Linked DNA regions of Drosophila melanogaster. The protein of the gene in region 2 purifies or fractionates together with the protein of the main gene of each other region. This does not show direct contact. Each region holds a gene or a part of one and is shown on either strand. Other genes may lie near its edges.

Region 1 (3,885 bases), about 16 Mb from region 2:
GGGCTTAAAATGTATTTAAAGCACAGCTTTATGGTGTAACCCACTAAAAACACCAAAAGGACTGGTGCAAGGAGGTTATACGGGAAGGATAATCCGGCTATGGGTAAATATGGTAATTAAGTGGTAAGTGGTAATTATTGACTGTGCGAATTCTTGGTTAAATACTTACAGGACAGTTTAGTCATAGTTACCGACACCTTTTCTATCATGATTTCCAACTGCTTGATAAATATGTTATTCATGTACATAAAGAACACTTGATCTGGCATGCAAATGGAAATGCTGATTTTTGCGGATTTTCTGAATGGAAACGATCATCAATCGACTTATTTAATTATATGTTATGGTCTTACTTGATCATTTCTATCTTCTTAGTTTTTGGTGAGGCTTGGTATATGTAGCCTAACAGTCGACCAAACCAGGACGATTCAGGCTCATGGTGATGATTTACGACCTCTATCATCCTATCGATGTCTAATTCCTAATTATAAACATATAATGAGCACAATTTCACACACTTTCAGGCTAGACCTACTCTGTTGCATTCTAAATAAGTCTGAATATATCCGCACAGAAACACGCCTCCTAGTACAATTGAAATTAGTCCGACACGGAAACGTTTGTGCACAATGACGACAAGTGCAATTGCTAATGTTGCATATAGGATAAATTTCACCTAGGAATGAGAAAACCCATTAAATAGCAAATAGTCAAGTTTCCATAAAAAGGCGCAACAGGTACCTCGGTCGTTTGCGTCAGTTCAATTACATCCTTGAAAATATCCACCAATAAGGAGAAAAAGCCGTGTCGGACGTATGAGCATCCGGATCTTCCATTAAACAAAGGAGCCTCCTCGGCACTCTCCAATATCTTAGTCAGCAAAACGTCCAAATCCCGAGCATCCTGCACCCTCTCCAGTTCATCCAGTTGCGATGGGATCAGGGAGAAGAGCAGCGATCGCTTATGGACCGCCGACATAACATCGTACTAATTACACAAAAGTTACACACATATGACGTCATGTCGCCAACTTTGGTCTAAACAGCGATCATACCTGAAAACGCTTGCGCTGGAACAGCAGATTGACGAACTTCTTGAAGTATGTGAGTGCCACGGCATCCTCCATGGCCACTGGAGACACATCTGGACACGTAGGACACTGGCACAATTCACCGGGCTGATTGATATCGTTAACCAGGTCCGACCAGGCGGGATCCGGACTCAGCCAGGACTCATCGTTGCCGCTCTGACAGCATACCCTGTGCAATACCAACAGGAAACAACTGACCGCTGCCTCCGTTCTCATTGTCCTGGTTTCTCAATGTAATCACTCCTAGGTAGTAAGCACTCGATAATAATTATAATTCAGCGCAATTTCGTGGTAAGGCGGCTGATGCAAATTGGCAGTGTGACCAAGTCCAGTTAGCAACATCACAGCGTCACGTCAGTGCTGCAATATCTACTTATCACTTCAGGAAAATGTAGCTTTATATTTATTAGACAAACATGCTTTTATGATTTTTCTTCACTTCTACTGCAAATTGAATTATTTTTATTAAACATCTTTATCAAATAAATCAAACAAATTGTTGTAAATTGACCAAGATCAAAAATCGTAACTGCGAAAAACAAAGCATTAAAATAAAATAAAAGCTAGACTGTCAGCACCAAAGCTTTATGCGATCGCTAGATGGCCACACTGCGTGTTGTGAATAACTGTTTAGCCAGGTCAGCACTGCACCAATAATTGCAAGCTTTAAAACCGAAATAAAAACCACGAGGAAAATGGTTAGGTCAGCTCTCGTTGTTGCAGCCATCGCACTTTCCGTACTTATTGCACTGCAGGGCGTGGATGCCGACAAAAAGCAGAGCAAGAAGTACAGCAAGGAGGCCAACGACCCGCATTTTCAGCAAGTAAAGCAGGAGAAGTATGATCCGGATTTTAAGAGCATCCAGCGGCCATTTCGCATGGCCAAGTTGAATCTCGTGTGGGCCAAGGCGCAGAATGTAAGTGGACACCATAAGATATCTCATATTTAACCGTACTAACCTCGGTTACAGCGCTTAACAGAGCCCAAGCTCAAGTCACTGTACATGGAACTCAAGATCCACGATAAGGAGGAGATCGCTTGGAAGCAGCTCAACTCGCAGCACAAGGACAAAGACGGGCTGAAGGCCGACGAACTGCGCCGCAAGCTCATTGGCATCATGAGCAGCTACGATCTGCTAGAGCATTTTGACGACACTCAGGATACGGAGAAGCTTAAGCCCTACAAGGTACGTATCTAAATCATCTTTCCTAAGAGCAAGAGTTTCTCTACATCCAAGTTAACTTTAAGAAATTCCACGACGCCGAGGAGCGACACAGAAACAAGAGTCTTTTCAAGGACAAGAAACTCAACCGACTTTGGGAGAAGGCCGAGATTTCCGGATTTACTGCAGAGGAATTGAAATCCTTGAAACAGGAGTTTGACCATCACCAGGATAAAGTGGATGTGTACTACAGCTTGCTGGAAAACATTGGCACCGTAGACACCGACAAGCATGAAAGTGAGTTTGGCTAAAAACAGCACGAAAAGCATCAATTAATTTCATTGATTATTCTCGTTAGATGCTATTAACACGGAAGACTTGGACACCTACAATCTGATTTCGAATGATGTCAATGAGAACGACATCAAAACCCATGCGCAAAACGTGAAGAGTTTCGAGAACGACCTTAACACTCTGCGAGGACATCACACGGGCATCAAGGATCACTACGATAGGCTGGAACGCCTGGTGTCCTCCGGTCCACACAGTCAGGACTTCATTGAACCCAAGGTCCAGGGTCTATGGCGAGTGGCCCAGGCTAGCAATTTTACGGTTAAAGAACTGGAGTCCATTAAAACCGAATTGCATCACTTCGAAAGTCGCCTATTAAAGCTGCGTCACTTGCATGCCGAGCATGCTTTGCAAAAGGAGAAATACAAGGTATATGTTTCTTAATATCAATCAAGTTTGTAAGCCAACTAACAATTATTTATAGGGCGAAAAAGTGAAGGACAAAAGCAGCCGCTTTGAGGAAATGGAGGATCAGCTGAAGAAGCAAACTCGCAAAGTGGAGAAGCTCCAGGAGAACATTGAAAAAACCATCTTCAAGCACACCGAGCTTTAATAATTTGAAAGTGAAACACTGAAAGTGCCAAGCGAATAAATTAGATTTAATTGCAACTGTTTGTGTAACGCACAAAAATATTCATTCTTGCTGCTATTCAGCATAGATATAATTTTGATACCAAATATCATTTGAACATAAATAAAATCTCAAGTTTAATTTTGAACTATATACAATCTATTTTGACCTTTAAAAAATTCAATGTGGAAAAAATAAATTTGTAATATATTCAAAGTACAATATAGGGTTAAGAATAAACCGTTAAAAAAAACGATAAAATTAGTGTGACCATATGATAGCAGGCACAAAACGCGTATTTCCCTCCACCCAGTAGGACCGCACCTAGTATGACCGCATGCCAGTCGCATTATTGTTGTTGTCGTTTCGTTTGGTGGGCCAAAAAACAAGAAAATATTAGCTAAGCGAAAAGTTTAAAAAGTTAATATATATATGTGCAGCGGTCGGTGCCAGCGCTTTATGGGTACATAGTGCATATGTACACACACCGACATGGGCATGGTGGAGGCGTCGACGTCGGAACTGCACCTGGAGGCCCCAAATTCGTACACGTACCTCCTGGCGACCGTCAGCCTGACGCTCACTTTCATCGTTATGCTGGGCGCTTGTCTCTGCTGCAAGAAGCGGATCCCTAAGTAAGTCCTCCCCAATACCCAGAGGATCAGAGGATCCACATCGTTTCGATGGCTCTAGCGGGAACAGGGCGGTGC
Region 2 (4,904 bases):
GAGGATCACTTCAGTTTGCGCAAAAATCTGCCGGCGCGGATCTACGACCACACCAGTGTCATGGATGAGGAGGTGGGTCTCCAATTATTAATTACCATAAAAATCCAAGTATAATGATAAGCATTGGGTTTAACACACCCGCAAATGATTTAATTTCCCTTCCATAATATTAATCGGTATACTTATTATAATTTATCTTAATTTATCTTGCAGTACTCACCCGTCATAGGCATATCCTCGTATTAGATTGATTCCTCTGGAATCGTGTGAAATGTGGATTGGATGATTGTTGCGCTTGGTCGCTGGGAAAATTAGATGACCAATGCTAACTCGAGACCCGCGGCAGAAACACACACGCCTGAAGACTGAGCAACTCTGTGTATTGTGTAAATTAATTATTTTAAAATTTTAAGGCACGGCAAGGACGGCGGGTCACCTTGGAGCGCATCCTTAAAGGATGCTGTACAAAATACTATGTCGCAGAGTTCTATCACAAATAAACAAAAGAAAAACAAAACAGAAATAGTTACGAGAAACGTAAAAGGAAACGAGAAATCTAATTGCTAATTATAAATTACATAGTTCCAAACTGTATATAGCTGTAAGTGTGCATTATTTTTAAATGACGCAACTTAATATTACTATACGTAAACATGACAAAGAGATCATTGTGCTTATGGTCTACTATTAGAGCAAGTTGAGAAATTATATTTCTGTTGTCAAGGAGCAGAGTCGTTTTATTATATTAAAATTATTACTGCATACGTATTAGCCTTTTGTTAACTGTATTTGTTAAGTGTACATACATATGTATATGTTTCCCCACTAAAAAGAAAATATGATGAATAATAAACTCAGAACATACTTATGTGTAGCGTACTCCTGTGATATAATTACATGACTTTGTGGATGGGATTTTAATTTGATTGATTTCAAAGTGTGAGTGGTAAGTTGCCAGCTATTTTTCCAGTTTTTATTTCCAACATTGTCCAATTTACAATTTTTTGCTGAATTTGTAGCATTTCGTTTCATCTTCAGATGCACAGCTGTTAAAAATGCACATATATTTCTGTTCCTTGAAGAAATCTCAATTGGAAATGTACCGAAGGGGAATAATTCATCAAAGCTTGATGATTTTACACTTTGATGATATCCAGACTTGCTAAAAGCCCATCGTGTTTCTCAAGCATCTTTGTTATTCAAATGGAAACCATGTTATGAATTGAAATGCAGAGGTACAGGTGCTGTCAATAGATCAATTTCCGCTACAGTAAATGGTTTAACATTTATTGACCAATTGTGATTTACGTGTGTCTATGCTACAAAGCCCATTACTAGTTTCAATCGAAGCCTTGACTGATTGACCCGGGCCAACAAACAATTTAGACCTGTAATTTTAGAAATTGCTACCTCACTAATTGGATGCCGAAACGACAAATAGTGGAACACACCTCCAAAATAGATTGATACACGTTCTAAGAGAGCGGCCGAAGAGAGAACCACCTGTTAGCTCTGATTCAATGTCAGCTTATTTGCGCACTGGTAGCTTTGTCTTCTCTTTGTGTTGGAGATCGAGGCTTTTGATTTTCAACGCTTTGGGGCTCCCCCCGATGATGACGTCGACACTCTCTTTTCTCTTCGCAGGTGTGATATGGTACGCGTGGCGATCGTCGGTTCGTTGCCGAACGAAAGACGAGCACTGCCGAAGTTTCTAAGACGGTTCCATTGGTCCGCTCACTTCGGAAGCGATATTCCGGCAGTTTGTACTCGCAGTGCGTGTCGCTAGGTCGTCGCTGGTCGCTTATCGCTCATACGCCCCATGCTTTGGATATAACTTCACCGTTAAACCGAGAAATTTCGGAATGCGAAAAAAGTTTCGGAAAGCAAAAGTTCAAAGCAAATAAAAAAAAGTTCAAGCCGGGGCTTTAAGGCCAGCTCATCGCATTTGTCGAGCGGAAATAAGTGTTAATTAAAAAAAAATGTATGAATCTATTTTGGCCGAACGTTACGTCAATATGTCATGTGAAAAAACAGCATAAATTTTAGTCCAACATGTGTTTTGCCATTCAATAAAGTAAATACAAGATTTGAACAACCAGAACCCATTCCGAGCTGGAATAATGGTGTCAATGGGTAGTGGCTGCGCATGACTTACCAGGCTTACCTGGCTTATCAACCGTTATACCGCTGATAGCAGATATATCCAAATAAAAAATTATTTTAATGTTTTAAAATGAGTGAGAGGGACAGCATAAGGGGCTAACCCTCGCTTTGACCAAAGGCGTCGCCCTTAGCTTGCAGTTTTATGTGTGTATTTCGTGTTTTCTGTGCTCTTATGCTGTTTTTTCGCAACATCGTATGTTTCTTTTTCCCTTCATCGCCTTTTCCGCATGTTTATCGTACCTATGCCTTACACTCTCATCCCGATACAGTCGATTCATTCTCTCACTTTTGTGAACGTTTTTTTGGCAAACGTTGCGTGTATTCGCCTAAACTTATTATTTAATGGACGTGTATAAATAAGTTGGCAAATCGAACCAGAGTGAAAAGCGTGTGTGACCCACTGAGCCTAAAGTGCAATTTCTACCGTATATATATTCTAGCAGCTGCAAAAGATGGCCACAACCTGCATGCCGCATTTCACGGAATATTTTCAAACCACCACCCAGTCAGAGTTAACAACAAATGAAAGTGCCAACAGCAGAAGCAGCAGCAGCAGCAGTGGCTGTAGAGAACCGTCCAAAACCAGTGGCTTCTTCTACAGCGCCAGCACACATTACCAGAGCAAAGTGCAGCAGCTAATCAGCTTCAGCTTCACCTCATCGTTCCACCTGCTCTTCATCACCTGCATACTGAGCATCAGCAAATTCTGCAATGCGGCGGCGGTAAATGCCGCCCATGTGACCGCTGCCACGCCCACTGCCAGCGAGATAATGCACAATCTGAGCGGATCGGCGCTGCTAGAGCGTCTGAAAGCCAGTACTCTGGGACCCACCCTCGATCAGCTGAAGCATCTGGCTCCTGCGGCAGCCAACAGCATTAGTCCTGGTACAGGATCTGGCATGGGAATCGGGATGGGACACTTTGGCAGTTCCATTAATTCGGTGCTAAACGGAAATCCTTTAAAGTTCTTGAATGTGTCAGGAAAAATCGGCACTCCTTTGGACATATGTAAGTTTTTACAAGCCCATAAAAATGGTTTATTCCTAGAAGTTCTAAATGCTAGAGGTATTTGTAGTTATAAATCTTTTAGTCACTCTTTTTATCAACTTGTATTTATTTTTATGATTCATGAAAGGCTTAAACATTCATACATATTGCCGGCGAATTATTAGAATTAGTCAACTATTAACATCACGTCACAAATTAAGCTTTCCATCATATCAAAACTAATCATTTTTGTAAGAGTTGCCGTATTTTAAATATCTATTAAAAAGCTATGAATATAAAATTCAAAACTAAAGTGCAGAATAATCAAAATTTAAACTGAAAAATAATTTAAATCACAATATACTTTGCAGCCTTAATTGAGAGTTGTAAACACTTAAGGCTCGTAATCATGGTTCGACTTTGTCGGATCTTCTTCGATTTCTCCGAGTGTAAGGGGATGCGGTGTTTATAGTTGGTGGCTCCAACTCCAACTCTCTCATTTCTGGCGATCATGCCACCAGCCATGTGTACATACGTATGCATACCCCGATTTCCAGTCCGACTCCGATTTTAGCTAAGGCTCCGACTCCGACTGACTCGGCTCAAGTTTTATTTATGTGAATTTTGTTGCCAGCCGAAAGCCAAAGCGTCTGGCAATGCCAGTAAACTGCACTTCCATTTCCATGTCCCAACATTCCACATCGTCATACGATTTCCAGACTGCAGAGCTCTTTCCCTTTTCTCCCCATGCTCCGTGCTCTTTTTTGTCGGCAGAAACCTTTTACTTTCCTCTACAACTCGCCTCTGCTTACACTGTAATAAAAGTTCCACTAAAACTCATGCTTAAAGTGACTAAAGTACCGGGATAAAATCGAGTGTGGCATACTTTTTGGCGTGCTATATATGACATTAAAAAAAAGGGTTCTTTAAAGTTCAGAATTTATGCATTTTCTTTCGGTGTACACTCTTTGCTTGTTCTGCTTCCCCTTATAATTATTCCATTTTATGCTTATTTTTTGTACCGGCCGGCATCGCTACATGAAGCGAATGGAGCGCCACTTGAAGACTTAAACTCCGGCGGCTCTTGTGAAATGTACAGAGAGAATACCGAGAAAGAGAGAAGAGGAGAGAAACCGTGGTAGACGGGGGAGCAGAGAACAAAAAGAGCAACAAGTGGCCGATTCTTGGAGTTTCTTGGCCTTGCACATTGGTCAACGTTTTTTTGTAAATCGATCCGAGCACGTGGCAGATATATGTACATTCTACTCCAACATAAACTGGAAGTAGCTCGACTTATTTATAAACATTTGTTGTTACCAAGCTGATCTCGATATCTATTTTGATTATCCCCCACCCAGAAGTAATTCAAGCACTTTAAAAAATATGGCTTAGCTTTAAAAAAACATAAACAGAAGATTGACTAACGAAGTAATTTTAGCTTCAAACGCGGCTGTTTGTAAATGACATTGAATAAGCAGGCAGTTTACATAAAGGCCTACGTAAAACATTCAAAGAACATTCAAAACATTCAAACATTCAAATTGGTAAGAAAATTGCTGAATAATCAATTATTTGCGCAAATTAAAAGTACAGTGTAGAACCAAAAATACAATAGACCCTGATTAAATATCAGGGCATAGTATCGACCATTTCACCATTGTTAGTCGCTTTTAATCTGAATATTTTAGTCCATCATATCGAAATATGAATAGTTTTTGTTATGTTCGCAGTAAGGGAATAACAAATGGTTGGAC
Region 3 (3,433 bases), on a different chromosome or scaffold from region 2:
GCGGGCGCACCAATATGTCAATACTGTTTACCAATGTCTGGCATTTTGGGCATGCGGCATTTATAGTTGTTAAGTGTTTGTTATGCTTGGAATGCAAAATGGGCAGCACAATTGGTGAATATACTATACATTGAATTACGCTTGTGTGTCAATAGTTTAACGACCAAGCGACCCCATTAAAGTTATCCAACATTTGAGGCCAGTCGAATCGCACTGATAGGAACATGTTTGGCCTTACTTTACAAACTTCATATCTGGCCAATAATCATAATTCTGCAAGTGGTGTTCAATTATCGACATTAAATACAAGAGTATTAATTATAAGTTACTCTGATAACAGTGTTGTAACAACTGATTAAATTAGATTGCTTCAATAAACAAGAAGAGTTATTCACCTGATTGCATTTTACAATATATGTACATATAACACGCTTGACTTGTAAATTGCAAAATGAAAACAAATATGAATCATTGGGCAAATAATATAATATAAATAATATACCCTGCATAGAAGCAATATATACACACATATTCCATTGACTTAACTAGGTCATTTTTGATTAGTTAAGCTAATCAGTTTTATTCAAAATATTTAGGTATTGTAGAGAAAATATCATTTTATAGCATATATTCATTCATTTCTAACGAAGCATAAGCCCGGTCTTTCTTACTTCAAGCATATTTGAATGAAATACTCTTATATAAGTTTAAAACAAAATGCTAATTAACATGAATTTATGAACGCAAGGCATTATGTCACCAAGTTCAAGATCAGCCGAATTAAAACAGGCTTGTCGCCGAACGTCACTCTTTGAACAAACCCGTTTACTGGGTTTGTCGCAAACTTGTCTTCGTGAAGTGGAATTTACAACCCACTTAACATGAAGTGAAGTGAGTACATTCAGATAAAAGACCGAAGAATTGTTTATGTTTCACACAGAAACCCTATACAAGTAGATTTGTAAATAAAAGATATAAAGGCAGAGACTAAATGAGCTCATGGAGAGCCAAGAGAAACCACAAGAATTGCTCTATCGCACAGCAAGATGCAACAGTTGTCCCACCCCTCGAAGTCTGAATGCTCCTCCGTCTTTTCTCTTTCTCAGAAGAATTCATTGGGTTCGCATGAACTTGCGAATACGGCTCACTTAGAAGCGACGAAATTAGGTCATTAATAGTATTTTGCCAAGGATAAGGTCACCGCCATCATTGTTTTTTCTGGGCACTTGCGTGCAAATAGACCAATAAACAATGGGTACCGCAGTAAGGCGATGTTTTTGCGTGAGGGTGGAGCAGAATGGTGTCATCCTCTCCGGGGAACTGGAACTCACCTCCCCAAATGCCAATCTTCAGCTGGTTCCGGTCCAAGTTCTCGATGTAGTCGCCGAGCACCTTGTTCAGCACATCGGCCACCACCGCCTCGAAGACCATTGTGTCCTAGCAGATGCTCCTATTGATTTTCCTCCAAGTTTGTGGTTGTTATTCCAATTGATGTGGTCGTGGTGAGTGCTTCAAACAATCTGGCGTTCGCTGTGCGGTCTATAGTTGATCTAAAATACATGCATATGTAAACACAGAAACCAAACAGATGGAACGGAGAGACGGATTAAAACACAATGTCGATGATGTCATCGTTGAACGCATTTCAAATATTTTGGCACAATCCGCCAGGCCCATTGTTCCAAAATAAACTAACAAGCCAAACGATTGTCCAGGGTCAGCTGGAGTAGGGCTGGTGCGATTAACTCACTACTCCACTCCAGAGCACGTGTGCAACGCCCGTTCTTATCTCTATTTACTGCACCCAATTACCAGCGGCATTTCCACGCGACAAAAAAGTAGTAACTCCGTGCGATGCGCGTTCTTTAAATGCTCGCCCGAAACTAACAGCTGTTGTGTTTTCCGTTTGCGTTCTCCACCTGGGGACGCTCAATCAGCTGTTCGGTCGCGTTCCCGGGCGAATGGCAAACTGTTAGGTGACGTGTTTGACCGTGCGAATTGCTGAGCTATAGGAAAAATATTTATAAAACACCATGCAAACACGTCTTGTTTTGCTGCTGCTAGCTCTGACCCCGCTCGTCCTGGCCAAGAAGTTCAAGGAGGAGGAGAAACCGGCGTGGGCCAAAAAGGATATACGCGACTACAGCGAGGCGGACCTCGAGCGTCTGCTAGATCAATGGGAGGTAGGTAACAACACTGCGATTGGAAAGCGACACATCGGACCCAACTCTCCAGATTCGCACCTAGCAAGGGAGTAATGCCAACCCTTTAGATTCCCACCTATCTAAGGATTCATCATTTGTAGAGACGGATAACTGATACCCCTTCTTTTAATCTTCTCTTAGGAAGATGAAGAGCCCCTCGAGGATGATGAGCTGCCCGAGCACCTGCGCCCCCAGCCCAAGCTGGACCTGAGCAATCTGGACAGCAAGAGCCCCGAGGACCTGCTCAAGGTGTCCAAAAAGGGGCGCACGCTGATGACCTTCGTTTCGGTGACCGGTAATCCAACCCGGGAGGAGAGCGACACCATCACCAAGCTCTGGCAGACAAGCCTCTGGAACAACCACATCCAGGCGGAGCGCTACATGGTTGACGATAACCGCGCCATCTTCCTCTTCAAGGACGGCACACAAGCCTGGGACGCCAAGGACTTCCTCATCGAGCAGGAACGCTGCAAGGGCGTAACCATCGAGAACAAGGAGTACCCAGGTGTCAATGCGAAAAAGGACGAACTGTAGGCCGGTTCCACGGCATACCAGCACATCAAAACATTCTCACTATTTAAGATCAAAGTTCAATTAAAATAAAACAAATTTATTAAACAAACTTATTAAAGAAGCTACATATGTATTTTGCTTGGCCATTCACAGGGAAACGGCTCCGTTTGCGGGATGGAATAAATATGGATAAAAATATGAATATTTCAATAAACATATTTTGAATATAATATTTGTATCTCTATTAGATTGTTTATATACACTGCGTATGTGTCAAATCAAAAACAAAATAAATGAAAAATTTAAGCAAAACTCTAAATTAATCGCTGACCAACTACACAACTCACGGTGCCATCGGCAAAGTTATCGTATCGCCTTTCAAATGTTTCGAGCTCCAGCTCCCCTCTGTGTGACCTTAAGTCAACAAGACGCCACCCGCGAACCGCGACGTGCTCTACTTGCTCCGCCTGTTGAGTAGCTGTTCCACCAAGAAGATGCCCGTCCAAGCCAAGATCGGTCCCAGCATTCTCAATGCGGATCTCTCCAACCTAGCGGCGGAGTCACAGAAACTACTGGACAATGGAGCGGACTACCTGCATCTGGACGTGATGGACGGCACTTTTGTGCCGAATCTCACCTTTGGTCACCCCATGGTCAAGAGCTTGCGCAACAAGATCAAGGTAAGTCTGCAGTCATCTGAGCCAGATATTCAATTA

Evidence for each region.
Region 1: the proteins of LpR2 (region 2) and CG8507 purify together in Drosophila melanogaster (affinity purification with mass spectrometry, with the first as the bait; one large-scale study listed by BioGRID). This does not show direct contact.
Region 3: the proteins of LpR2 (region 2) and boca purify together in Drosophila melanogaster (affinity purification with western blotting, with the first as the bait; one study listed by BioGRID). This does not show direct contact.

What each region holds. Positions count from the first base shown.
Region 1 is NT_033777.3:9,789,785-9,793,669, forward strand, and holds CG8507 (uncharacterized protein), read left to right. Parts: upstream 1-1,698; 5' UTR 1,699-1,785; coding exon 1,786-2,007; intron 2,008-2,061; coding exon 2,062-2,277; intron 2,278-2,339; coding exon 2,340-2,550; intron 2,551-2,611; coding exon 2,612-2,973; intron 2,974-3,028; coding exon 3,029-3,157; 3' UTR 3,158-3,314; downstream 3,315-3,885. Other genes in the region: CG12945 (uncharacterized protein), read right to left, coding at 1-97, 170-300, 354-481, 536-676, 742-987, 1,055-1,306; CG8516 (uncharacterized protein), read left to right, coding at 3,668-3,810.
Region 2 is NT_033777.3:25,737,322-25,742,225, reverse strand, and holds the start of LpR2 (lipophorin receptor 2), read left to right. Parts: upstream 1-1,760; 5' UTR 1,761-1,981; intron 1,982-2,603; 5' UTR 2,604-2,615; coding exon 2,616-3,171; intron 3,172-3,536; exon of another isoform or gene 3,537-4,199; intron 4,200-4,904. Other genes in the region: LpR1 (lipophorin receptor 1), read left to right, coding at 1-72, 214-246.
Region 3 is NT_033778.4:7,565,263-7,568,695, reverse strand, and holds boca (boca), read left to right. Parts: upstream 1-1,957; 5' UTR 1,958-2,033; coding exon 2,034-2,183; intron 2,184-2,345; coding exon 2,346-2,738; 3' UTR 2,739-2,823; downstream 2,824-3,433. Other genes in the region: Vps13 (vacuolar protein sorting 13), read right to left, coding at 1,332-1,431; Rpe (Ribulose-5-phosphate-3-epimerase), read left to right, coding at 3,212-3,397. UniProt on the Drosophila melanogaster protein: Chaperone specifically assisting the folding of beta-propeller/EGF modules within the family of low-density lipoprotein receptors (LDLRs). Acts as a modulator of the Wg pathway, since some LDLRs are coreceptors for the canonical Wnt pathway.